4 linked regions of the Drosophila melanogaster genome follow. The protein of the gene in region 2 purifies or fractionates together with the protein of the main gene of each other region. This does not show direct contact. Each region holds a gene or a part of one and is shown on either strand. Other genes may lie near its edges. The genes, in order: Sik2, Mer, kibra and Khc.

The links.
Region 1: the proteins of Mer (region 2) and Sik2 purify together in Drosophila melanogaster (affinity purification with western blotting, with the first as the bait; one study listed by BioGRID). This does not show direct contact.
Region 3: the proteins of Mer (region 2) and kibra purify together in Drosophila melanogaster (affinity purification with western blotting; 3 studies listed by BioGRID). This does not show direct contact.
Region 4: the proteins of Mer (region 2) and Khc purify together in Drosophila melanogaster (affinity purification with western blotting, with the first as the bait; one study listed by BioGRID). This does not show direct contact.

What each region holds. Positions count from the first base shown.
Region 1 is NC_004354.4:2,055,909-2,063,893, forward strand, and holds the start of Sik2 (Salt-inducible kinase 2), read right to left. Parts: upstream 6,008-7,985; 5' UTR 5,714-6,007; intron 4,937-5,713; 5' UTR 4,806-4,936; coding exon 4,191-4,805; intron 4,121-4,190; coding exon 4,057-4,120; intron 3,854-4,056; coding exon 3,567-3,853; intron 3,511-3,566; coding exon 2,413-3,510; intron 2,358-2,412; coding exon 2,076-2,357; intron 2,016-2,075; coding exon 1,921-2,015; intron 1,860-1,920; coding exon 212-1,859; exon of another isoform or gene 203-211; intron 149-202; exon of another isoform or gene 118-148; coding exon 10-117; 3' UTR 1-9. Other genes in the region: CG4281 (uncharacterized protein), read right to left, coding at 6,827-6,983, 7,039-7,985.
Region 2 is NC_004354.4:19,689,179-19,695,229, forward strand, and holds Mer (merlin), read right to left. Parts: upstream 4,323-6,051; 5' UTR 4,258-4,322; intron 4,072-4,257; 5' UTR 3,780-4,071; coding exon 3,123-3,779; intron 3,064-3,122; coding exon 2,854-3,063; intron 2,757-2,853; coding exon 2,520-2,756; intron 2,458-2,519; coding exon 1,654-2,457; 3' UTR 519-1,653; downstream 1-518. Other genes in the region: CG14229 (uncharacterized protein), read right to left, coding at 5,389-5,686, 5,751-5,773. UniProt on the Drosophila melanogaster protein: Regulator of the Hippo/SWH (Sav/Wts/Hpo) signaling pathway, a signaling pathway that plays a pivotal role in organ size control and tumor suppression by restricting proliferation and promoting apoptosis.
Region 3 is NT_033777.3:14,721,256-14,726,146, forward strand, and holds the start of kibra (kibra), read right to left. Parts: upstream 3,007-4,891; 5' UTR 2,319-3,006; coding exon 2,056-2,318; intron 1-2,055. Other genes in the region: CG7530 (uncharacterized protein), read right to left, coding at 3,904-4,134, 4,202-4,675, 4,785-4,891. UniProt on the Drosophila melanogaster protein: Regulator of the Hippo/SWH (Sav/Wts/Hpo) signaling pathway, a signaling pathway that plays a pivotal role in organ size control and tumor suppression by restricting proliferation and promoting apoptosis.
Region 4 is NT_033778.4:16,266,448-16,273,509, forward strand, and holds Khc (kinesin heavy chain), read right to left. Parts: upstream 5,525-7,062; 5' UTR 5,039-5,524; coding exon 4,892-5,038; intron 3,807-4,891; coding exon 3,347-3,806; intron 3,209-3,346; coding exon 1,329-3,208; intron 1,258-1,328; coding exon 817-1,257; 3' UTR 513-816; downstream 1-512. Other genes in the region: csul (capsuleen), read left to right, coding at 1-206, 272-427; CG33017 (uncharacterized protein), read left to right, coding at 5,865-6,194, 6,258-7,062. UniProt on the Drosophila melanogaster protein: Kinesin is a microtubule-associated force-producing protein that may play a role in organelle transport. Milt and Miro form an essential protein complex that links Khc to mitochondria for light chain-independent, anterograde transport of mitochondria.

The sequences.
Region 1 (7,985 bases), about 18 Mb from region 2:
CACACGGCCTCAGACTGACTCAAGGTGCTCCGATATCTCCAGGATGGGGCTCTCGCTGAGCGGCTTTACCAGCGACTGCCAATTGGGCGTGAAAAGGCTGAGCACCGGCGTCGATGTCTGCGGAGGACACAAGGAGAAAACGGATAAGGTTTATATACGAACTTGGGATGCCTGAGAAATCATCTTAATATGCGTTATCTAGCTTACTTACATGATAGTCGGAGTCCAGGCTGTGACCGTGGGGCGTGGTAGGCTTGCACTTGACCGTGGGCGTACCCGGCGCCGTGGACGGTGGAGCTGAGCATGATACCCCAGCAGCTGATCCTCCGGAACCAGCTCCATTAGGCGCCGCACCAGGCACCTGGTCCGATTGGCTGATGTAGGAAGTCTTGAGGTTCATCTGACTGAAGGCATGAGCTCCGGGCATGGTCATGGAGTGCTGAAGCCTAGGAGTTCCGCTCCTGGGCCGATCAAGCAAGGCCAACTCGTACAACTCGTCGGCCAGGTGATGTTCCGGAGCCGGAGCCGGCGGCGGTGGCGGACCCAGGCTGTGGCCAAAGTGGTGATGGTGGTGATGGCTGTGCTGCTGATGGTGGTGATGTCGACCGGCTAGCTGCGCCTCCAGTGCGTACTGCTTCTGGAACAACTGACGCTTCTGCTGAAGCAGGCGGTGCTGCAGTAGCTGCTGCTGCAGCGGTGGCTTTTGCATCGGGGACATGGGCACGGCCATACCCACGCCCAACTGATGGTGCGTGTATAGCCCTGGTGGCGGCGGTGGCGGAGCATAGCATCCATGACCATACATATCCCCACCAGCAGCGGCTTCCAGGAGCAGAGGTGTGGCTTGGTGGCCTGAATGGAACAGCGAATGATGGCCATGGTGATGCTGCGCAGGATGCGCATGATGATGGGGCAAAGTCAGCAGCGGATGATGCTTGCCCGGCAGAGCATAGAATTGACCATTTGGAAATTGACAGAGTTCTTCCAAGCCGTACGCTTGGGGATGAGGATGCGGATGCTGATGCGGATGTTGATGGGCATGTGGGTGTGAATGCCCCACAGCCGCCTCCTGCTGCAGCTGCTGCAGCTGCTGGATCTCCAGCCAACCGTGACGCTTGGCCTGCTCGTAGCGATAACTTCCGTACACACGACTGGTGCCCAGCAAGGAACCAGAGCTAAGCAGGCCCTGGGCCACCAGGCCATCACTCGCCCGTCTTCCTTCGCGAAAGTGTATGGGTGAACGCTTGTCCAGGAACGTGACACCACCGCCATTTGGCGGAGGCGTAGGATTCGGCGTGGGCGTGGAGGCTGAACTCTGAGGAAGGCCCAAGCCCAACGGCAGAGCTCCTGGCATATGGATGCAGGAGTTGTGGCTCCCGTACAGCGATCTTTCCGATGAATGCTCCGATGAGATTCCCGCTGGCGATGCCGAGGCCGGAGTGGGCGTGGCCAGCATCGAACTTGAGCCCATGCACGAGGGTAGACTGCCCTTGCCAGAAGGCAAGGCAAAGTCCAAGCTATCGTAGGGACCGCTGCAATTGCTCTTGGACGAGCCGCGGCTCAGGTTCTGGCTCAGACTTTTGGAGTAGCTACCAGCGCTCCCGGCGAGAACGCCACTGGACGAGCTACTACTGGCATACGAGCGCATCTTGTGACTCTGTCCAGAGGTAGTGGTTCCAACGAGCCGCGTCAGATCGCTGCTGGAGTGCGAGGTGGGTCCGCCGTTGGCGTTACCGCTACCGCCGCCATTGCTGCCCTTTGACTCCTGGGAAGCAGAGCCCGGATCGTTGCCCTGGTCTGTCTCGCAGCCCTCATCTGTGCTGGAGCTGCCTTGGGCCAGAACTTTCTTCTCCGAGCGGCTGCGGAAACGGAAGAAAACGACATTAGTCAAGAAACTATCGCTGTGACTGCAAGACTCACCTGTCGCCATTCGATTTCGCATCATTCGTTTCCTGGCCGGAGTCACCGCCGCTGCCATTGGTGCTGCCCACGTGCACACGACGCTTAGTCCTTTGCTGGAGAGGAAATGGAATTTGTCAGCTGGAAGCAATTATTAACTCACACGTATCACTCACCTCCACGGGCAGTGGGCTTTCCTGGAGAGTCTGGAAAAGCTTGCTGGCCTCGGCGGACATCTTGTAGCGAAAGCTTTGGCCCAAATTGGCCTTAGAATCGAAGCTGCTCGAGCTGGACATAGTCTTTATTGTCTTGCCGTTAATCTCACCAGGGCAGGGAGCCGATCCCGATTCCGGTCCCGCTGTACTGGATGTGGGTGTGGTAGAGGCGGGCGGAGGAACGCCTCCTACGCTTGATTCCGCCTTTGGCGGATCATCTTTACCCTCAGCCACTGCTGTGGACTGCCGAAAGTATAAGGATAGAAATAACTTGGGATAGAATCAGCCGAAAACTCACCTGCTGCAGCAGCGCACGACAGTCTTCGGTGCTCTGTTTGATGATGAACTCGCTGATGGTCTGATGAAGCTGCTTGGACGCTAGAGGCACACCCACTGCTCCAACGGGTCCTCCTCCAGCCTCCATCATCTCCCTGCACCGCAGGTTGGCCAGCGAGGGGTTGTTGTCGATGCTGAGCGAAATGGCCACCGGTCGATGGCTTCGCGGCGAGCTGGAGCTTAGACTGTGTCGTCCTACCCTCGAGGATGTGGATGAGCAGTTAGAGGGAGCGGGCGACGCGGCTGTCGGCAGCGGGGTGTACCGCATGGGCAGCGGAATGCCGCTGGCATCCACCTCGACGCCTCCTCCATTCAGATACCCAGTCAGGTGGGAGTGGCCCGTCAGAGGCAGTGGCAGTTGCAGTGGGCCATACTTGGCGTAGTATCCGGGACCGGGATCTGGAACTGTGGGTGTCGCGCCGGCGTGGGCGTTACGCTCACTCATGAGTACCGTCTGATGGCGGCTAAGTCTTTTGTGGCACTGATCCTTGGCCAGGATCGAGCTGGTGGATATTGTCTTGGACTGCTGCTGCGATTGTTGCTGCGTCGGTTGGTGGTCATTTCTGGAGCTGTAGATCATCCGACTGGCGGAGGTCGACGAGGCAAGGGCGCTGGCGCCTAAGCCGTTGCTCTGCTCCTTCTTGTGGCTAACTCGATCCTGCAGGAGCAGATATATGGCCGCGACATGGTCGTAAGTGTTCTTCTTAAGACTGGCTCGCGTCTTGTCCGACCCAATGCCGACATACTCGGCCATGATGCGAAGAATGTCCTCGCTGGGTTCCACGGACGTCTGCCGCTCGGCGCCCAGATTGTACTTGGCTATCAGGACGTGCTCCAGCAGCTCGGGGCACATCCAGCGATGGCGTTTGATTTGGTCGATGGTGTACCGCCTTGTGGGCTCCAGTACCAGCATCCGGCGAATGAGGTGCTCGCACTCGGAGCTCATAAAAAACGGAATGCGAAAGCGACCGGAAAGCACCCGATCCCGGAGGCTCTGCAGCGTGGATCCGTCGAAGGGCAGGGCCCCACATACCAGCACATAAAGCACGACGCCCAGTGACTGCAGGAAATTATACATTTTTGGATAAATTGACACGTATACTTCGCACCACTTACCCAAATATCAATCTCTGGACCCGTATATTGCTTTCCCTCGAAAACCTCGGGAGCTGCGTACGGCGGTGATCCGCACCAGGTGGCCAGTAATTCTCCCGGCTTGAAGTGATTGGAGAACCCGAAATCCGCTATTTTGATGTTCATGTTCAAATCCAGGAGCAGGTTCTCCGCCTTGAGATCCCGATGCACTATGCCCTTCTTGTGACAGTACTCCACCGCCGATATGATCTGCCAGAACTTAAAGCGCGCCGCCGACTCGGACATCCGCCCGTACTTGGCAATGTAATCTGGATAAAATATAAAGGTAAGTCCATCTCATTGAAACCCTTATCAACTTAAGAGAATGCGAGAGATTTAAAGCTAGTGTTGTTCGTCCAAAGGTCAACAAGTCTGTGCGCAATGTGGGTTCAAAAGTCTGCTAACTAAATCGAGTACTGTACTCTACAGTCCGAGTTTAAAAAATTTTTTTTAAAATGAAGCCTCAACCCACCGAAGATCTCTCCTTGGCTGGCATACTCCGACACTATGTAGATCATATTCTTGGTCTCCATAACCTGTGGGATTGGTAGAACGGGATTAGGAATACGATTCTTGGCAGGATCTGCCACAGCAAATTCTGCTGACCTGGTAGAGCTTAATGATGTGAGGGTGCTTCAGGCGCTTCATGATCTCCACTTCGCGGTAGACTTTCTGTAGGTTTGTCTGGTCCAGCTGCGACTTGTCAATGATCTTGATAGCCACCTCGTTCTTGGTGATTCGATGCCGGGCCAGCTTGACCACTGCAAAATTTCCCTTGCCAATGGTGCGCTCGATGTCGTAGAAGCCCACGCGCATGGGCTCCTTGAGTTTGAGCAGGTCCTTGCCACTGATACCGCCCGCGCCCACCGCAGAGGATGTGGGACTGGGACCGGGCGTGGAGCCACCCCCGCTGGCAAAGAGCTTCTGGGCGAGCAGTGCATCCTTGCAAGCCACTATTGCGTCTATCGAGGGCGAAGCAGCACCGGCATCCAGGAGCACTGAGCTCCGGAGGGCATCCAGTGGGGGGTGTGAACACGCTCCTTCTGCTCCTTTTGCTTCGGTTTTCCCGTTTTGGGGCAAATTCTCCGGCGGCTTATCCAGCTGCTTCTCGTTCCTCTCATGCTGCGGCTGCTTCTTCTTCTGATCCTCCGGCGGCTGGCTCTCCTCGGACTTGGCCTGGCTCCCATTCTCGCCAGCGGCCGCCGCCTCGCACGTGCTCATTTTCCAACTGCGCCACCCTGGGCGGGAAATCTCACACGGAGAGCGCGAGGCGGAGGGAGTGGGAGATCGCGATCGACAGCGAGATGGTGATGCACATGCTCACACACACCTCCTGTCTCATGACAGCGCTTCTGCGGGAATAGAAAAAGTAGAGTGGTATATTTTGGGTAGAATTACAATACAATAATGAACTGAAACTTTTTGAATGGATGTGCGACTAATGTTGTGTGTTCCCCATGTACATATATGTGCATAGAAAATATGTAAGTGCAATAAAGAACGGGATGACTCCGGAGAAGGGGTGGGCAGTCGTCGCTTGATAAGAGATTACCTCGGCTTTCCGAGTGTGTATGTGTATGGCTTTCGGACGCGGACTCCACAAGCCACCAAAGCTGCACTCTCCCTCTCTTTCTCAGGCAGTGTTGCCACAGTTCAATTGCAATGGTAAACTGGATTCACGTTTAAATTTAATCTATCACGATAATAATAGTGTTATTTCACTCGCATATCGCATATGCGCACCAGGTACAGACAAATATTTTAAAAACCATTAGCTGAGGTCCTCAAAGACATGCAGATCCATTTGTTAGTGCCCACCAAAAGGAAGACATTCAACGAAAATGGCTGACGCTGCACTTCCGCTTTCAAAATGGCTTTTTTTCCAGCCACAAAATGGCCGAGGTGCCAGCACTGACTGTGTGTGCGGCTGAAAGTGTGTGGGTGCCAGCGTGCGAGTGTATGTGTGTGGGTGAGTGTTGGTGAAAAATCAATAAGCAGAGCAACCGCATCGCATCGTGGAAATGCTCCGCGGTGCCAGTGGCCACTGTTGTTTCCTTCAGGATGCAGTGCAACCGATTCAGAACCACTGCCAGGAGATTTCCCCTTAAAGCTGCTCTCCCCAAAAATACCGTTATTGGTGAAAGCGTTAAAAGCACAAGCCTCGCCGGTTGACAAAGAAGTTTCGAGCAGGAGCGGTGGCAAAAACTGAGAATAGGCTACAGGCTGGGCCAGCTTAATCCGAATCCGGTTACTGGCTATGAGAGGATAAACGCTGGCGAGGATCCGCTTTACATCGCGTCCGCGGAGCGCCACACATGCGGCTCGGAACAGCACAGCACGGCACACACAGACACAGTCGCTGCGACACACACGGCAGATGGCTAGGAAACGTGGCTGCCTCCAATCCCGAGCTGCGTCCAACTGGCGTCCGTATTTGACGCAAGCTCGGCGCTGTCTGCCCCATTCCACCCACTCGCCCCTCAATTTCCGACCCTCACCAGCACACACATGAGGGTTGCCAAGTGAGCGCCAAGTGCCGAGCATCGAGCATGCGCCAACTTTTTCGCGAGGGTGGGAAGTTTGATGGAATTCATTTGAATTTCGCGCCCTTTGATCGTAAAACAGTATGCAATATAACCCGTTTCACCGATTCAGCTTTCAGATAGACAGTGACCGGTACAACTAACAGAAAGAGTTTGAACTATTTTCAAATTTTTTTCAGATATACTCAGATATACTTTTGCTACTGATTTGTATTGGGATGTTGCTCTTTTATATAAAATATCCACCACATTCTAGGTAAAAATGAAGTCCACATGTATTCCGGATATGACCACACATATATATTTCTTATATTCATATTCGCTGAAGGTCTTACATTAAATATTTTGTACAGTGGAACGGCTGCCGACGGCTTTCGGTCGGTCCTCTCTCTCTGTCTCTGAAACGTGTCATCTCGCTCGCTTCCAAGCGTGAGCCCAAACCGACGGGATCTGGGATCCGGTATCCGTCTTGCTGGCGCCATTCCCTAACGAAGTCAGTTAGTATATACACGGACCGATGCAACTTATGTACATGGAACAGATTTCACAAAAACAAGCTAAAAGCATTCATAGATTAAGGGTTTCTTCCACCCTAGAAATGCAAGCGTATGCCAAGAGTTTCACCTCGAGTGCTGATGGCTGTACGTTTGCATTTGCTAGGGATTGGTCTTGTTTGGATTATAGTGTTGCTTTCTGGGGCTAAATCTGGCCGGGATCTTGCTGAAGCGGCTGCTGCTGCTCTCCTTCCTCCTCTCCCTCCTCACCGTAGCAGCGCCGCTTAAAATCGCCAAAGAGATCTGCACGCGGCTGCAGACCTTGTTGAAGATGATCCATGCTCACCGTCTGCGTAGTGTTCCTGGAAGAGCAACAACTTAGTTATAGACTTTGAATAAGTATCCCTTTATCCTTACCCGGTTTTGGTGAGCACTGTACATCCGTGCTCTACCACCATGGTAAGTGAATAGAGCGTGGCCAGATTACTCATGCTATCGGTCTCATAAAGCTCTATATCCGGCAAACGGATCTGTGTCTGTTGCGAATCCTGCAAAAATCGGGCGATGCGCTCATTGACGCTCATCTTGATGCTGAATCCTGGACGCTCGCCATTGATGCGGCGACACCCTGCTCGTATCTCACGTACTTCCTGTCCCTGGGCGTGTCCAGGAGGCGACGAGGAAAGAAACGGATTAGAGGTTTCGCCGGACATCTCACTCTCGATTTGGCGGGAAGCCGGCATGGTGCCATCTGCATTTGTTTCCATCTCTGAGCAGGCATTCTGAATCTCGATAGGCTCGGAGACGCCGGCTGGTTGGAAGCGGGAAAGATCCTGAAGAGATTCTGGAAGTTGGACTGGAGACTTCGAAGGCGGTTCCATACCCACCGCTCCCGCTTCGGTGCCAGACATAAGAGTGTCATCTTCTCCAATTGTGTCATCCGAGCGAATTTGAGGCAGTAGTGATTTTTTTGTAAGCTTCCTTTTTGGATCGTATCTGGCTCCGGGTCCGAATTCGTTTCCCGGCCAGTCGGTGAGTTCATCGTCGCCCTCGCGATCGGTGTCGTGCCGTCGATGACCACCTACTTCCGCCTCGCTATCGGTGGACGAGCTCAGGGAACTAGAGCTTAAGAAGTCATAAAGTTCGCTACAATCCATTGACTGAGCTTGGAGCTGCAGCTGAGGCTGTGGAAACGTTTGGAAGCGGCGGCGACGTTCCGTTTTGGATGAGCTACTGCTGCTGTGTCCCGGCGCCTGCCCCTGCGCCTTTTTGCGCAGCAGCGGAGCAGCTGGTGGCGTACTCAATAACAAGGCATCAATATCGGTCACAGGCACAATGGTGTCCATGCTGATGGAGTTAAAATT
Region 2 (6,051 bases):
ATCAATATGGATAACATACATTTTCATTTGAACTATGACATTTCGTTTATTTAATATCTAATATTAAGTTTTTACCGTTATTTAAACTTTAAATAAAGTTCTCTTATTATAATTACTCCGCGTAATAACGGAACATAACAAGGTGTATAGGGTAGAAACACCCTTTGAAGATCTTGAATTAGACAAAGATACACTGATGGTGCGAACGAGTCCGGAGTACTCTTCGGATCTGAAACCCTATACCTTTGAATGATCCGTCTATCATATCGAGTGGGAAATTTCCTTTAACGCCGTGCACGCCAAGTTAAAGGATTAAGTACCCTTGCAGTTAAACGTTAGGCATAATCTATAGTCTACAGGTACATACATATCTATAGTCAGATTCAATTAAAATGCAATTCCTTTGTCTGAAATCTTGAAAAATTATAATAAATAAATAGAAATCCAATCGTTTAATTTGCGCCACTTTATTTTTTTAGCTATAGGATACACTGCAGGAAGACAGCATTTTCGTTCCGATTTGCATAGTTGTATGTATGTATGTACATATGTACATATGTATTTAAACGAGCTGACAGAAAATATATGGCAACAGAACTAAGAGACCATGGAATCGGATGGACATCCACAGTCTCTGGGATAACATCCGTAAACCGACCACGCTCAGCGGAATAGGAGGGAGCTTCAAGAATATCGTAATTAACATTCAGACTTAACTAGAACAAATCCGTGCCTGCAGTTCCAGTCACCGACTTTTAATCGGTAAATCACCGCTCTTTTAAAAATGTTGAGCGCTTAAACACCGCACAATTTGCACGAAAGCTACCGGTGATTTTAACATTGGCATGTTTTAGGAAATCATCGGTATGAAAAAAAAATCCCAAAAACATCGCTATTAATCACCGTTGTTTAAGCGCATTTTAACGGGCCAATCGTCCTTTGATTCAGCGTTTTTTCATCGCTGCTTTAGCGGTTTTGGGTTTTGCGGTTTATGGTTTTTCATCTTTGGGAGAGAGATCGCTCGCGAGAGAGTCGGTGTCGGTGAGAGAGTGTGATGTTTCTCAAGATCGATGAATTGGGGAACTGCAGGGAAGGTATCAACACACTGACAAAGTCAAAAGAGCGCCAAATCTTCGCTATTGATCACCGTTGTTTGAGCGCATTTTAATCGTCCTTTGATTCTGTTTTGCGGTTTATTAGTTTTCATTTTTGGAAGAGAGAGATCGCGTTCGAGAGAGTCGGTGTCGGTGAGAGGGTGTGATGTTTCTCAAGAGCGATGAATTGTGGAACTGCATGGAAGGTGTTGAATATCTTCTACCGAAAATAACGGTATCTAATCGCCCATCTACTTTATGAATATTTTTCGTGCGTAAGTGAATGTAAAATCATATATGTACATATGTATGTACATATGTACGTTTGCAATTGGTTTATTACAGCAGCGGCTTGAGCGAACAATCGAAAAACATTAAATATAGTATGTTATAGTAGGATATAGTACAACTACGGTTAAGGCACTCATACACTCTAGCACGCGCACAGGCACACACGCCAAATCGTAACGTATCGTACAGCTAGATGGGGTATTAGTCATGTCGGCGGATGCGGGGGTGAGGGGGGAGTAGGTGACGGAGGAGGCGGAGGCGGAGGAGGTCAGAGCTCCTCGAAGAAGGCGACACGCGCCTTGGTCGAGCCGGACTTGAGTTTCTTGAGCGTGGAGTATTTATTTTCGCCGGCCTTGATCTGCGCCTCGCTGAGGATGTCCAGGTTGCTCTGGTTCTCCTCAATCTTGTGCGGCGCGATCTCGGAGCGCAGTGTCTGCAGTTGACTTTGCACCTGCTTGGAGTTGCGCAGGTAGTCGAGGTGGTTGCGCTCCATCTCATTGGTGATCTGCTCCATCTCGTTGTCGGTGAGTATGAACTCCTTGGGCTCGAAGTCGTCCGAAATGCCGCTGGAGTTGTCACCTTGGACCAGGTAGTGTGACGAGTGGGTGGTCAGCTCGGCGCCGCCGGCGGTCTCCAAATCATTGGTTGAGCTGCTTGTGATCAGGGAGGGTGTGCTGATGGCCGCCATGCTGGACGCCGTATTCGCCGCGTGCGACACACTGGAGGCGGTCAGCAGGCTATCCGTGGAGGACTTGCGGCCGCTGTTGAGGAATTCGAGCAGGCGAGCGGTGGCCTCGCGCTCCGCCATTTTGGCGCAGATCAGCTCCTTGCGCAGCTTCTCAGTCTCGGCCTCCCGCTTGTCGTTCTCCACCGTCAGCTGGTGGACATAGAAGTCGGCGTCGCGAATCTTCTTCTCCAGGTCGTGCTTCTCCCGCTCGATTTTCATTTGTCGCTCGCGCAGCCGGTCCATTTCCGTCTTGAAGTGGTTTGCCTTGCACTCGGTCAGCTGCATCTGCTCCTCGTTGACACGACTCTTTTCGAAGTACAGCTCCTTGGTCTCTTCGGAACGCCGCTGGGATACAGGGAGAAACTCAATATTATAGATCAGAAGCCACTGGGCGGAGTGAGTCTTACAAGTGCATCGTTGGCCATGCGCATTTCGTTTTGCAGGTGCTCCATGCTCTTCTCCAGCTCGTAGCGCTCGTGCTCCGCCTTTTCGCGCAGCTTCTTTTCCCTGATGAACTTTTTGCGTTCGATCTGGCGGCGTTGCTTCTCCTCCTTGGCTTGGGCCTTCATCTGCTGGATTTCCATGGTGTCGGGTTTGCGGCGGCGCATATATAGATCGTGATTGCCCTTGCACAGGTCAAGAATCTGCAAAGCACACGATGCAAGTGTAGTATGAATATGGGAACATGAACATAGTGAAAATACATATACATATTTCAGTTGTCACAACTGCCCTCCTTACCATTTTGTTGATGTGGAGGTCCTGCGAGTAAAAGATGAAATTCGAAACCTTGGCATCCACCAGGCGAATGGTGAACTTCTTGTCGTCGAAGCTGACGTGCCGTATCTCGTTCCACTGGAACGTTGTCTTTGGCGTTAGCTTATCGCGCTCATCGTAGATGTTTAGGCCCACGGAGGTGACGCCCAGCCACAATTTGGTTTTGTTCTTATTCTGGTGGGGAACACAAACGATAAGATTCAGATGCGCCACGTGAAAATCAAGGCTCTCACCGTAATAGGAAAGTAGTTTACTCCGTACATGTCCAGGTCCTGAGCAATCTTCAGGTACTCCATCTCCACCTCGTCGCGCGTCATGGGCTCATGGTCCATGTACCATGTCTTGATCCGTTCCTCCCACATTTCGGGCGTCATCTGGTACTGATCGGTCACTCCCTTGGGCAGAAGCTCACCCCCGGCCAGCATACCGTCCTTGTAGGTCTCGTAGTCGTACGGACCGTATTGCACGTGCACCGCGTAGGAGGCCAGCAGCACGGACGCCTCCGGGCGGCAGTAGATGTCCATGGAGAGGATGCTCTGCTTGACCTGCAGGAAGAACAGGTGCTGCGTGATCTCCTGGATCAGCTCCTCGCTGACGTTCTCCGGAAAGAACTTGGCGTAGAAGCTAAACACATACACATTATTGCTAGCGTGCAGCTCAACGCGCTGGTCGCGCACCCGCTTCTCCATTTTCAGCCAGGACACGTTGCTGCGGGTGTCGACGTACTGCAGCCCAAAGTACCAAGACTCGCGCAGCCCGATGGTGCGGCACACCAGGTCGAACAGATCCTGGCCGGAGGCGCGCGGCTCCAGCTTGAACTCCAGCTCCGAGTCGAAGGTGCTCACCCGCACCGACAGGGATCGGTTTTTCTTGGAGCCGAAGGGGCTCATCGCGATTATGTGATGTGTTTTGATTAGATTCGACGCAATGTGATGTGATGCGTTAGATGCAATTGGATTGGAGTGGGAACTGAGTGCTCTTGTGGGCAATTCGTGATAACCTGTTGCGTGCAAAGGACTTGTTGCTCCTGCTAATCTGATTCTTGGTCCTTCTGGTGCTCCTGTGCCATCTAGTGGCACGATTCCTTGTTGCTGCTCCTGCGGTCCTCGCCTATCGCGGACTGCCTCATTTTGCAGCCAATTCGGTGCTCCGGGCAATGGCAATGGCAATTTGGGCTGATGGCTGTGAGCGGAAAGAAAGAAAGAGTAAGGCTCTTCGTTTATGCGGCGCTGCGATTTAAGAACTGCGTGGCCACGGCATCCTGGCGCCCACTATTCAACCGCTCACCCAGCTCCTTTGGCGTGGAAGCTGATTGAGGGTCGGCAGAAGGGTCTCCACATCGACCAAGTACGAGAATAGGCAACTTACTCGATTGTTTGCACCGCGAATCGCAATTGTACGACAAATTCCCGATATGCGCGACATAAACATAGACAGTGTGACCAGCCGTTAGATGCAGAAAAATCAGCTTTGGCAGACGCCTTGTATATTTAGTAGGGTGATTCCATTTCAATTTTATGGAGGAATCATAATGCTTAAATTAATCCATCTCAAACGACATAAAGCATTGAAATGTCAATATATGCACATGAAAACATATTAAATACCTTAAAAATATATTAACTTTCCATTTTCCAAAAGTTTTCAAAAACTGGCAAAACAGTGGTAGTCCAAATACCAAAATATACCGCAATATGTTTTTTCAAATTGTACACTCATTTTTAGTTATACGAATTTTTGAATGCTGCGAAATAGATTTGATCAGCTATTTGATGAAAGATGAATTAACTAAAATAACACAGTGCTATATAGAGTTGCCACCCTGTCAATGGTCACGAATTGGGAAAATGAAGTCCTTGAGCGCAATATTTGTTTTAAAGATTTGTCTAAGGATGAGATGTATTACTATGTAAATGTTTATTGGACGTATTCTTGTATTGCAGGTCCATGCTTAAATTCTCGGAATAAGCAAAATGACCATGTCAGCAGATGCGTATATAAACAATGAATAAGTCCAGCTTTCGTTTTATCAGGTCCCTGTAGCTTATTTTCCATCTCCACCGACTCAGCAATGAACTTGTACCCCCCTGGATATCGTATTTCATCGAAATAGGAAAATATAAAGATATGGAGGTTTTCTTACATTATTCTTAGAATAAATTATACATGCAGGATTATAAATACATATTGAAGGGATGGTAACCGATGAACATAGTTTATATATATTCATGTGCGTGTTTGGGGGACTCTTAGCTCAATTTATACTACTATTATTATGTGTATGCATCAGGGGTGATGCTAATGCCATGCAAGTAAACAATGCTTATCACACAAACGCAAGTGACTCCAGACACGGATATCCGAATCCGTGCGCAGAGAAGACTGAACGGAGGCGAATTACTTTGAACCTAGAGAGAGTGTTGCTGCAGATAACTCGTGTTGGCACTTAAATGGCTGTGCCAGGACTTGGACTCGCACACCGGAATCCATGATCACTAGCTACTGGCTGCTCCGCTTGATGCGCTCGACATGCAGGTCGTACAGCATCTTGTTCTTCTCGTAGTAAAATGGGTTTTGTTCGGCTCCCAGTTCTGGGTTGTATTCGTATCCGGCCGCCACACCGTTTCCGGCTGCATCGGACCCGCCGGATCCACCAGTCGCTCCTCCTCCCGACAGTGGCGGAATGCTGCAGCTGCTGCTGCTGCTGCTGTTCCCATCCTCGTAGTTCAGATTCAGGTTGTTGATGCGCTTCGAAAGGGGCGACTCGCAGGCCAGTTCATCCTCCCGGCTGCGCTTTCTGTGGAGGAATGGTGTGCGTTTGATTAGCGCTGGGACCTCACTACCTTGGTCAAGGTGATTACCTTGTCTTCAGGAATCCAGCCATTCCGATCCCGGGGCCAGTGCAGTGTGTTGGTTTCGGTTCCTATTGGTCAATTGTTTTGTCCTGCCCCGTTTCACAGCAGCGACATCCACCAGTGTGACTGCCTCGAAGTTCGAAATTGGCTGTGGGATATACCAATGGGTTGTGCTAAATATACCGCTAATCGAGGTTTGTTTTTTCTTAAATGGAAATCACAAATAGCCAACCCAAACAGCAGATATTGTTAAGAAAACCGAGATTATATTGTATCCAAACAAATAGAATATTTTTGGGAGGGAGGG
Region 3 (4,891 bases), on a different chromosome or scaffold from region 2:
AAACGTGGCGAGGCCTTTAAAGGTTGCCCGAGGCCTGGCTCGCTTCGCTTTATTGTAGAAATTTATTTATGGTTTATTGGAATTTTTGCGCGCTACCGGCAGCAATTTTGAAAATTCAATAGCAATAGCAAGTTGGATGCGGGGGATCGATAGACAGCCGAAGAGGGGACCAAAAAGCGTATATGATTTGGATACAAAATATGCGCGACTGGGCAAAATACCAATAAGGGGTGTATACAGCATTAAATAGTTTTGTTTGGTCAATAGAAATGGTAAAACTATTTTGGAAAAATATGGAATAGTTAGTTAAATTCGAAGACATACTTTGCAGATGTATACAGAAAATACCAATAAAACATTTACTCTTGTTTTTATTTCTTATATTCTATGGTATCCCTCTTCATAATCTGATTGGTTTTTCAAATAGTAAGTAAATCCCCTAAGGTCATTTAAGCTTTAAATTTCTATAACCCCGAAATCGGAACGTAACGCTCATAGATCGCTGACTTTTTGTGCCCACTGGCAGACATTTGAACGACATGTGTGCATTTATAATCTACTTGATGCATAACCCTAGCAAATGCGCAGATGTTTCGTTTCAATTTCAAAGGCGGGCGGGCGGAAGAGCTGAAATTCCACAACGCTTAATTCAGTGAAACATTTTCAACAATGTCCATGCGATTTGAAACAAACAAAGGGAATGTTTGTGTTAATTGAAAGCGTGAAGCGCACACAGCACCAAACGAACTGAAACAATAAGGCGTACACAGATAGAAATGCACTGGAAAAAATTAATATTCAAGCTTTGATGGCTTAATAAATCATTTGCAACGTGATATTGAAATTATAGAGTGTGTCTAATGTCAATGAAAATGCTGTACAACTGCAGAAAGGCAATAAGCATTTGCTATCGAGCAATTGAAGATACAAAATCCATCTAACACTACACATTTCTCTATCTGTGAAAAGCGAAAAATTGAACTCAGCGAAAGAGAGGGCGAAGAATTTCAGAAATCAATTATTTCGAAACTGCAAAAATTCCTACGTACATTTTGCAATTGTTTATGGGCAAAGCAACAGACAGAGATGGCGAGTGGGGCGGCAGCGAGGGGCGCGAGCGAGATGGAAGACAAAAAATGTGAGCGAACGGCAAACTAAAATGTATCTATGAGATACATGGCCTGATCGCCAGCGCTCTCGCTCGCTCTCCTTTGGCTCTCTCGCACTCATTACGTATGAGTTTGTTGGTTTTGTTTTCCTTTTATTTTACAGATCATTCGCCGAGCTTTATTTAACTTTTGCTCTCTCTCACTCGAATTTTTGTTGTTGTATTTCCCTGGCTTTACAATCCATTTTTTGTTTGTTGCCACTCTCTGTTCAGTTCAGTTATATTCGGAGTCTTAATCATCGCATCGGAATGTTTACTCCAAGTTTTTCCCCCGTTCCGTTGCGTTTTGTTTTGCCTGCTGCCGCTGCTGTCTTGTTTAAAATATGTAATTTATTTTGCTGCTGCCTCTTTATTTTATTTTCCTTTTATTTTTCTTTTTTTTTTTTGCTTCATTTCGCCTCCACCGATCGCATTCCTTTACACACACAGCTGCAGCACGCACCTTTTCTTTCCGGTTCAAGAGCGCTTCGGAATCGGAATTTATATGGGTTTTTTTTTTAGCTCGTTTGCCGGAGCTTCCTGAATGAGTGAACTGCTGATCTCTCACCTGCGTTTTATGCCTTCTTAAGCCACTAACAACTTGCCAAGAATTTTATTCTATTTTAATTTGATTCTCAATGAGTTATCTGCTTCACTTATTAGCCATTAAGCAGCAATTGGGGTTTATAAGCACTCTTGATAGTTTGCGATGTTAAAGCATCTATAACTTATTTAAAACACAACCTGTTGGTTTGGTCATTCGTTATGTATGCCTCATTTCTGATAATTGTTCTAGTAGTTTTAATAAGTTTAAACTAACTTTCCAAATGCAAATATCTTATAATTATATTTCAGATCGCCCTTGTTTCAATTTCGTTTCTTTAATTGACCCTTTCCGGAACACTTACCAATCTCTGGGATCCAGCCAGGTGGTCTTCTTGTTGATATGATCTATGTAATAGGTCTTGCCATCGAAATCCTTGGCGATATCCCAGCCATCGGGAAGTGGGAAGTCGCTGTGGTGTTGTTGCTGCTGCTGATGATGCGTGTGTTGTTGTTGTTGCTGTTGTTGATGATGATGATGATGTTGCTGTTGCTGCTGTTGGGGTCGCAGGTGGTGGGGATGCAGATGATGCTGCGATTGCGATGCGGTTTGTTGCAGATTCGGCATTTTAACTTTGTTTCTCGCCGTGTACTTTGGTTAGTCTGAGAAAACGTCGTTGTTGCTGGATTTTTCACCCGACGCGCGCCTTTTCTTTCTTTTCGCTATTGCTATCTACGTTTGCTTCTTTTTTCGGGGGGTTTCTCTTTGCGCTGTTTACATTAGCAAAGACATTTCAATTCCGTTTCTTTTGCTCCGGCGATAATGGAGACCGACCCGCACACACACACACACAACACGGCCACACGGTGACGGGCGTAGAGGCACACACCGAGCCAACTCGAATACACACGCGCGCAGGGGAGAGAGAGCGGGAGAGCGCGGGCGCGCTCTCAATTATTTATTTACTTTTTTCGTAACTGCATTCCATTCCAGCTCAAACACACGCACACATATGGGGGACGAACACAAGCGCACACGATCACTGCTCACAGTTGGTGCTGCTTCTTTTCATTTCTTGTTGTTGCAAGCGTTTGAACTCCTTTACTTATTTTCTTATTTTCGCCTAATTGAAACTAATTAACGACGATAATCCAACCATCCACTTGGTGTTCACAAAAAAATATGTACTTCAGTTTAGTGAGTTCGCGCCGTCGCCGATCTCTTCGGTTCCGGAATTCCTTGGGGGAGCAGCAAAAAACACGAGTAGCGCGCTTGATGACCGTCCGATTCGGATTCGGAATTTGTTTTGGTAACATTCGCTGCTAGTGGTGTAGCAGAAAACATCGCATTGCATATCGATACACTCGCGGCGATGTTATTCGATGTATTGGTTGATATCGATATTATAGGCTGTATTGACGCGGTTGCAGAGATGCGATATTTAACAATCATGCACGAAAAGTATTTATTGTTATTTGGCTTGTGTAGTCCCCAAGCATAGGTGTAATTGTTGAGGGAAGAAAATAGGAGTTGTACGTTCAAAGATCGGCTTGGTAACAGGAACTAGTTCGGTTCTTCAAGCGATGTTAATCAAAGCCAGTTCCGATAGATCATGTTAACTCGCTCTGTTAACAATTACTGTTATCTTAATCCTAACATTTCCGTTACATTTTAAAAACAGAAAAAGAAAAAATTTAAAAAAAAAGACTGTAAACTGAGTTACGCATTTCGAAATCAATATGTATCCCAACCATAGATAGAAAAATAAATTATGTTTCCGAAACATAACTTCAATAAAACCACAATTTCGCTTGCTTTGTACGTTTGATATTGTATTTGCATTTTATGAATTGTAAAAATTGAGTCAACAAGACTAACACAGCTTCAGCTCAAGACACATGCAATTTCATTGACATTGTTTAATTGTATATATTAAAGGAAATCAATTAGGATATAAAGAGAGAAACCTTTTTGCCGCTTATGCGATGCCAACTATCTGGATCTGGATTGTCTAACACGAAACCCTAACTAATTGGTAAATTAAACATAAATTAATCATATCGGTCAACAACTACAACTAAATATTAGTTATTAGCGGATAAAGAGCGCCCCATAAACTATTTACACTAAGCTTTAGTCTACTAGAGTCCCGGATTCCATCTCCGCTCCTCGGATCTTCGGATCTTAACTCAGATGTTCGGATCTTCAAGTTCTAGGAGAGAACTGGTGCAGTGCATCCGTTATTCAGGCGATACTCGGCATAGACCAGTCCGGTGTTGTGCCAGTGATAGAAGGCGGCCACGATGATCAGGTGCCACCAGTTGTGCGAATGCCCAACGAAGTCCACCTTGCCGGTGAACCAGCGCTCCGGAATCTTGGCCGCATAGAAAACGAAGGCGACGAGGCAGAGCAAGTACATGAGCACGATGCGGGGCACCATCAGCTGCAAATGGTAATGATTGATGGATTAGCAAATGACAAGATTCCATAAATTTCCAACTGATGCCTACCCTGACTAGCTCGTTCTCCAGACCGCCCATGGCCACCGCCCAGTGGCCCAGAGGTATGATTCCATAGGCAGACCAGAGTAGCAGCACCGCCACCTTGCCGTTCATGGACACATTCAAACGGGGTATCTGCACGGCAATGGCCAGTGCGAACATGCCCAGTGCAATCGTGGAGTACAGGGTGCGCAGGAAGGTGTGGCACCAGAAGGCATAGTACATGCCACTGATATAGATGGCCACCAGCGACAGCGAAATGCCCAGGAAGTCAACGGACAGAAAGAGCTCGTAGTGCTCCTCCGATTTGCAGGAGAAGATGTGGTATATGGCGGACATCAGCATGCACAGACAGAAGCAGACCAGCAGGCAGACCACCAGCACCTGGTCGCTCAGGGAGGCGTGGAGGCGCAGGAACTGCAGATCGAAGATGGTCAGTCCAATGAACAGGATGCAACCGGCCAGATGGCTCCAGATGTTGATCTATGAAAAATATAGCAATAATAATGTTATAATAATAGGGAATAGAGTTTAAGGAAAACTATTGTAGCTCCAATTGGAATGGAGTATCATTCTAGTGTGGCAATCTTACCGTCTCATTGGTCCACCAGAAAATGCTCTGCAGGCACATTTTTGTGGAAGGTAGAAAGGTGCGGTATCCGCGACGAATGTACGGGTTGAACTTCAGGTGACTGGGGG
Region 4 (7,062 bases), on a different chromosome or scaffold from region 2:
TGTTTGAATTCGTACATCCTAATCGAGCGGAAAATATTGACAATACTCGCTGCAAGACGGTTTCATTTAAAGTCAATAAAGATTGCGTGCTGCACGGAATCGGCGGATACTTTGATACCCATTTGTACAAGGACATCTGCCTAAGCATCAATCCTCTGACCCATACGCCTGGCATGTTCTCCTGGTTCCCCATGTTCTTCGCAACGGTACGTGTGATGTGATTAGTTAGCCTTTGATAACTGCTACATTAATATATATTTTTACTACTCAGCGTCCAAGAACTCTGAGGGAGGGACAGACTATATCCATCCAGTTTTGGCGATGCGTGGATGCAACCAAAGTGTGGTACGAATGGCAGGTGGTCAATTCTCCAGACGATTGGGAGCACCATAACACACGCGGGACAGGTTACAACATGCGATTGTAACAGCAGACGATGTAATAACAACCAATAGCCAAATAATCGGCATAATTTTTTTGAACTGCAATAAGAATCAAACTAAAGAGACCTTAATTTGTCTGCGACTTTTATTTAGGTTTATGTTTGAAAAGTTTATAAATACTCTTAACGTATATAGATGTCCTTACATATCTGTGGGTTTTATTATTTTCGGTTTGTAAAATTTAGTTAATTTCCGGTTTCCTTTCATTTATTTAATTAAATTATATGTATGTATATTTAAAGCGCTGCACATGATCGCGACACATCTCATCTAAGCGAAGGCAATTATCAGTTATGTTAAGTATGTATAACGTAATCCATTTAGTTTAGTTTAAAGCGGAGCTGAACTGGGCGGCGACAGGTGGTGATTGGATCTACGAGTTGACAGGATTAACCTGGGCCAGCGGGGATGGTCCTCCAACGGCGCCACCACCACGAATGGCGATTGCACCCTGGCCGGACCGGATCGGCTTGGCGATCTGTGCCTGTGGGCCACGTCTGCCCAGATGCTTCTGTCGCACCGCCTCCTTGATGCGGTCCACCTCGTATTGGTAGCGCTTGCGATCCCGCATTGCGCCCTCCTTCGCCTCCTTGAGCGCTGTCTCCAGAGCTTTCACCCGCTCCATGGTACAGCGTAGACGCTTCTCCAGCTTGGGCAGCTCGCACCGCAGATCGGCGTTGTCCCGCACCAATTGCTTGTGCACCTTGGTCAGCTGGTCGAGGTTGTTCTCCAAGAAGGAAATCTTCTGTTTCTGCGCGAGTGATCCACCGTCCTCCTCGCTCTCCTCGTTTACGACATTCTTTCGGATTCGTTGCTGTTGGCACAAGGGAAATACATTTTAAGATCTGTACGTAGCAATAATAGATAGGATTGCTTAAACTTTACCTGTAGATCCTGAACGAAAAGTTTTCGCAGGTTGTGTAGCGTCTGCAACTCCTTGGCCACCGTGTCCTCCAGGCCCTTGAGGTCTTTGCGCGCTTGCTCCCGACGCTCGTTGGTGAGGATGATGTTCTGAAGCTCGCTGGACTTCTCGGCATCCTCCTGGCGCACCTTCTCGTAGTCGGCCGTCATCTGTTGGTGCGCCAAGAGCAGCTTTTGATGGACATCCTTCATCTCGTCCATTTCGTGCTGCTTGGCGGCAATCTCATCCCGGAGCTCGGACACCTGCCGGGTGTGGGCTTCGCGTAGCTCGTCCATCTGAGAATCGAACATGGAGCGCAGCTCCTCAGCCCGCTGTTTCTCCTCGGCGTTAACGGCGGAAACGTGCTCGGCGGCCTTGAGCTTGGCGCATTCCTCGCGCAGCGAATCGATTTGTTCCTCGAGCGTGCGCTTCTTGTTCTCTGCCTCCCGCATCGACTCCTGCAGCGACTTCATGCGTGCCTCGTGCTGCGAAATGAGTAGCCGGTACTCGCCCAGATCTTTCTCATATTCGGAGATCTTCTTGTTGGAGTCAGCCTGCTGTGTTTCCATGTTGGAGCATCGCTGGGCAATGTTCTTGGCCTCCGTCTTCATCTTGCTGATAAACAAACGCGCCATGGTGAAATCTTCCTCCACCTTGCTGGCATCCGTGCCAGCCAGAGCACTCATCTTGAGGTCAATGCTGGACTCGCCGGGGGCAATGGCCTGGCCCACTTCGCCAAGGTCGCGCAGTAGGTTGGTTAGCATTTCCGTGATGCGCTTCTTCTGGTGTGAGGACATGTCCTTGAGCTGCTGTAGCTCTGTGGAGGCGGCGTTGAACACAGACTGCTTCTGCTGCAGCTCCTCGTTGAGGGCATCGATATCCTTGTTCTTGTTATCGATCTCCTGGGATTTCTGGTCGTAGTTTACAGCCAGCTCTTCGAGAGCTTGGAGCACCTCCTTAACCTCTTCCTTGGCGGACTCGTTCTCCTGTTGGATTCGCGCCATCTCCGACTGCAAAGTCTCATACTCACGCCGAGCGTTAGCGATGAGTTCCTCCTGCTCCATCACCTGCTCCTTGAGCTGCTCGGCGTACTGGCTCTGCTGATTGATCTCCTCATCCTTGTCGTCCAGCTGCTGGTAGAGACGCTCGCACTCTGTAGCCAGCCTGGCCTGCTCGTTCACGGCAACCGATGCGGACATATTGGCGAGAGCCGTTCGCTGGGCGGCCAAAGCGGCCTCGGCCGCCGCCGTCTGTGCTGCCTCCACTTCCAGGTTGGGCGTGCTTGCCTCCATGAGATCCTCCATGTTGATTTGCTCCTCCGCCTTAACAGTTTCACCCGCTCTCCAGCGCGCAAGCTCGATCTCCAGCTTCTCCACCTTACCCTTTAGTCGGGCGTTCTTTTCCTTCTCCTTTTCATAGCGTCGCTTCCATTCCTCGGCAGTAAGCTCCTCGTTAACGCAGACCACGTTCTTCACTGTCTTGGCTCTACGACCGAAGTCCAGCGTTGACTTCGTTTCAGATTCGTTGAAACTGGCTGGAGAGCAGCAGATGACGATGGTTGTGCGTGCATTGCCTCCCAGCGACTCCTGCAGGATGCGCGTGAGCTTGGAATCACGGTAGGGGATGTGCGTTTTGTTTCCGTCCGCCAGGGCTGAAATTACGTTGCCCAAGGCCGACAGCGACTTGTTGATGTTCTTGGCTTCATCAAGAACGGTTCCCTCCGCTCCAGTCTTGGAAACCTTCTCGGAACCGGCCAAATCCACCAGGTAGAGTTTGCCGGATAGTTTCTTCTGGTTCTCCAGGTTCTCCTGCTTCACATTGATAAGGAATACTGAGTGGGATCGCGAAGAATGCTCGTTCATGTCTGAAAGGATGGATAAATCGTTATAAAAGATGATCTGGTACATGAAACACTACAATCGAGGTCAGAGCGAATGCTGGAATAACTCCTAGACTTGTTTGGCTGAAATGGTCCTGACCATCGATTTTAATTAGTACTCACTTGTCACAGCGATGTGACGATTGGATTTGCCCTCCTCGATCACCTCGAAAACATCCTCCGGCGACGAGACGAACCGTTCCGTAGCGCCCTTGACGTACGGCACCCGGTTCTTGTCCTCGTGCACGCTTAAGTTCACCTTGGAGACGTCCAACAGATCTCGAATCTTGTCCATGTAGATCTCGTAGTAGGAGACCTTGATGTGAAACTCCAGGTTCACCTCCATCGCGTAGATGTGATTGAAAATGTCGTTGACGATACGTGGTATGATACCCTGTTTTACGGAGTCCCCGATCACGCCCTCCATCGTATGCGTTTTTCCGGAGGACGTCTGACCATATGCGAATATCGTTCCATTGTACCCGGCCAGGACATCCGTAACAATGGACTTGGCCGCCTCATTGTAGACCTTCTCCTGGGATGCATTCGGTTTGAAGACCTTGTCGAACAAATACACCTTGCCCTGCAGACGATGGAGATTAGGTTTAGTATAATGTGTTTTTTTCTTTAGTACATAGCAGCCAGTTACATTAGCTATAAACTGGTGTCAGTTGCGGTGAAATTTCTTTCGGAGATTCATTCCCCCTGTCCCCGATCTTTTCCCGCTGACTGCCTTTGAATCATTTTCAACGCATGGCCGCGAAGCAGATTGTAATTATGAGCATTAAGACATGTTAAGTGGAAGGGGGAAGAATAGTGAATAACGAGCGCCAGAAGAAAGCCACAGCGAAAGAGAGATAGATAGAGTTAGTCAGAGAGAGAGAGAGAGCGTAATGATAATGTCTGTGTATGGAGGCACTATATTAGTGCTGACTTTTTTGGAACTGGTTCAATTGCCCAAGCTTTACCAGGAATATGACGGATTACACCTGGCGGAAAAGCGGGAAATTCAGCATAGCATACAAAGCAATAACATTTCATGTGGCATAAAAGCAATACAGCCAAATTCCATTGCCTCCAAAGTTGCTCTTATTGTTTTTCCTCATATTTTTTTTTTTTGTATGCTTTGCGTGCATGACTCATTGGCGCGCGGACAGGGGAGTGGAAGTGGAGCGGGGGCTACCGTCAATGTGTGTATGTGTTTGTGTGGAAATGTAAGTGAGGTAAGCACTGAAGGCGGACTGGAAACTAGAAAAGCGCATATTTATGCGGCCCAAAAGAATGGAACACCCGCTTTTAGCAGAAAACCGTCTAGTGGGTGGCATTTCTCCACCCCGTCATCGCGCTTCTTTCGATTTACACACCCTATTCTTTTTCGACTGGGGGAAAATCAATTTGGTGCAAAGCAATATTGATTTGGAGTAAAGTTAGTTGGTTTCATCATATACATGTATATGTACATCTAGTTTTGTTTTGTGCAATTATTCATGGGTAACTTTAGTGCCTCTCTCTTTTTATCGCCTGGCATTCCAATTGGTCGGCAATTTTGGGGAAGGGTAATGTACGCTAATAGGCATGACGTCATGGCGCGGCACGCCGAGATTAATGCATAACACATAGGGAAAAGGCACTGGGGGCTGGCGAAAACTATAGATCTGGAACACATACCGCTATGGATATGCAGTTCTCCTCCACATTGTTGGGGAACTTGACCACGAACTTGGAGCCGGCCTTCTCTTCGCTGTCGTTCAGCGGTCGGAATCGGCAGACCACTTTGATGCTGTCCTCGGCGGGAATCTCTCGTTCCGCGGACATTGCTTACAGGGCGGAGATAGATCTTTCTGGCGGAGATTGTTGGATTTCTGCAGCTCTGGGCGCGACCTCTGCGCATGCAGCTCACTGTTTACGTGGATAATCAACGGACTCGCTATCGTCCGCACTATCTGCTGTTCACTGTTTGCTTGTGCCGATTCTGGTACTCCGTTTGGCCCCTTTTGTTCCGATTCTCTGCTGATTCCGACACACTCGCGAAAATTGGGTTGGGGGCGGCTCAAATAAGAAGATGCAGTGAAAATTTTGTGGTTATACCAGACACAAAAGTTGAATTGGTCAAATGGCGATAACGCTGGAGCGCAACCTCGATTCTGACTGCTCCGCGTCGTACTGTTTTGCACTTTTTTGCCCGGAATGATTAAGTGCAGCCGCTAAATGCACTCGCATACGTTAGTAGGTCGGAATTAGTTGCACTCAAAACTATTTTATTATTCGACTATTATTTTCGCTACTGTGCGCCAGTGTGACCGTTCTGCTCGCCCAGCTAAATACCAATCGCCATTTAATTGCACAATAATACTGAATTAATACTCTCAAAAGCTTCGAATGTATGAGACACCCTGCAGATCTTGAAAATGGTAACGGCATATAATATTCCTAATTAAGCGATACCGTTTAAAAATCATTCAAAAATTATTCAAAATTGCTTGTTTATTGTCACTTTTGTTTTTCCTGTCCAAATATTTCGGCTTGGGCGCAATATATAGCTCCAAACTAGGCATACAACCTCTGTAGGTTCAATAGGAAAACGCTATGGAAGATTGATCACCGAGTCGCTGGAAAGGATTGTGGAGAACAGAGGGGCACGATGGCACAGAAGGATATTACGTCGTATTTGAATTTGGAGCGATTGAAGAAGACGCAGAAGCTCATCCGACTTTATCGATCGAACGAGTGCCTCTGGAATCCAAAGTCACCTGGTTTCCATAGTGGTTCTGCGAAGGATGACGCCTGGCGACAAATCACCCGGCGGATGAACTGCGGCCTGACTCCTGACCAGGTGGAGCTGCAGGTGCTCGGTCTGCGGCACTACTACTCCAAGGAATTGGCCGCCATCCGAAATAGTCAAATTGAGGGTTATAGTTATAGTCCAAGGTACTCCTACTTCGAGGACTTGCATTTCTTGGGAAACTTGGAGGTGAGTGGATGGTTTTTGCACTGGATATTGAATAGTGAACCATTATCTTCTATTTTTACACAGGAGGAAGCTAACTGTCCCATTAAGGAAGGACATTTCCCACCCAATTTTTCGGAGGACACATTCATATCGCCTCTAGCTTTTTTAAGTCCCAGCTGCAGTGAAACCAGGTGCGGGTACACCTTCTACAAGATGATTCTAGAGCCTGAGCCACCAAATGAAGAGTTCTTAGGTGTGCACCATGAAAGATCTACGTCCGGCAATGATCGGTGGTATCCCACTGCGTACTGTGTTCGTTGCAAGCCAGAGGAAGACGAAGATCCTTGTGAAGCGTGCGAGCTAAGAGGTCAAAGCAGTCGTCCTCAATTCGGAAGTAAGAGCTCTTTAGAAGGCGGAGAAAGCGGCAGTACCAACCCAAGGATGTCTAATCGGTATCAGGAACAGGATCAGTCAAATAAATTCCAAAAAAGTGATAGCAAACAGTATCGAACTGGGAAACCATGTTCATGTCCCACGAAAGACAACCCAGAAAAGCGTTCATCGCAAACGCAACAAAATGATGTGTACGTCGGTGCTGACAACTGGGATGGTTACGAGTCCGTCGGCAATGGTATACGCAGCGATAGATGGCCAGGTCCCAGACTATGTTCCCAAAAACGCGGAGAGTGGAAGCCCAGGTTCCGTAAAGTAATCGGCGAGGACAATCAGAAGTCGTGCTGCGACAGCTGGAAGCGAAATAATAATGCCGTGTGCGGGAGACTTCTAGACCAGTTGGCCAAGCAACAGAATCAACCCGGCAGTTACTCCGACGATGGAGACTCCGTTCGGAATCAAAGCTGCGGCTGTACGAAGAATCGCCGCCAGTCAG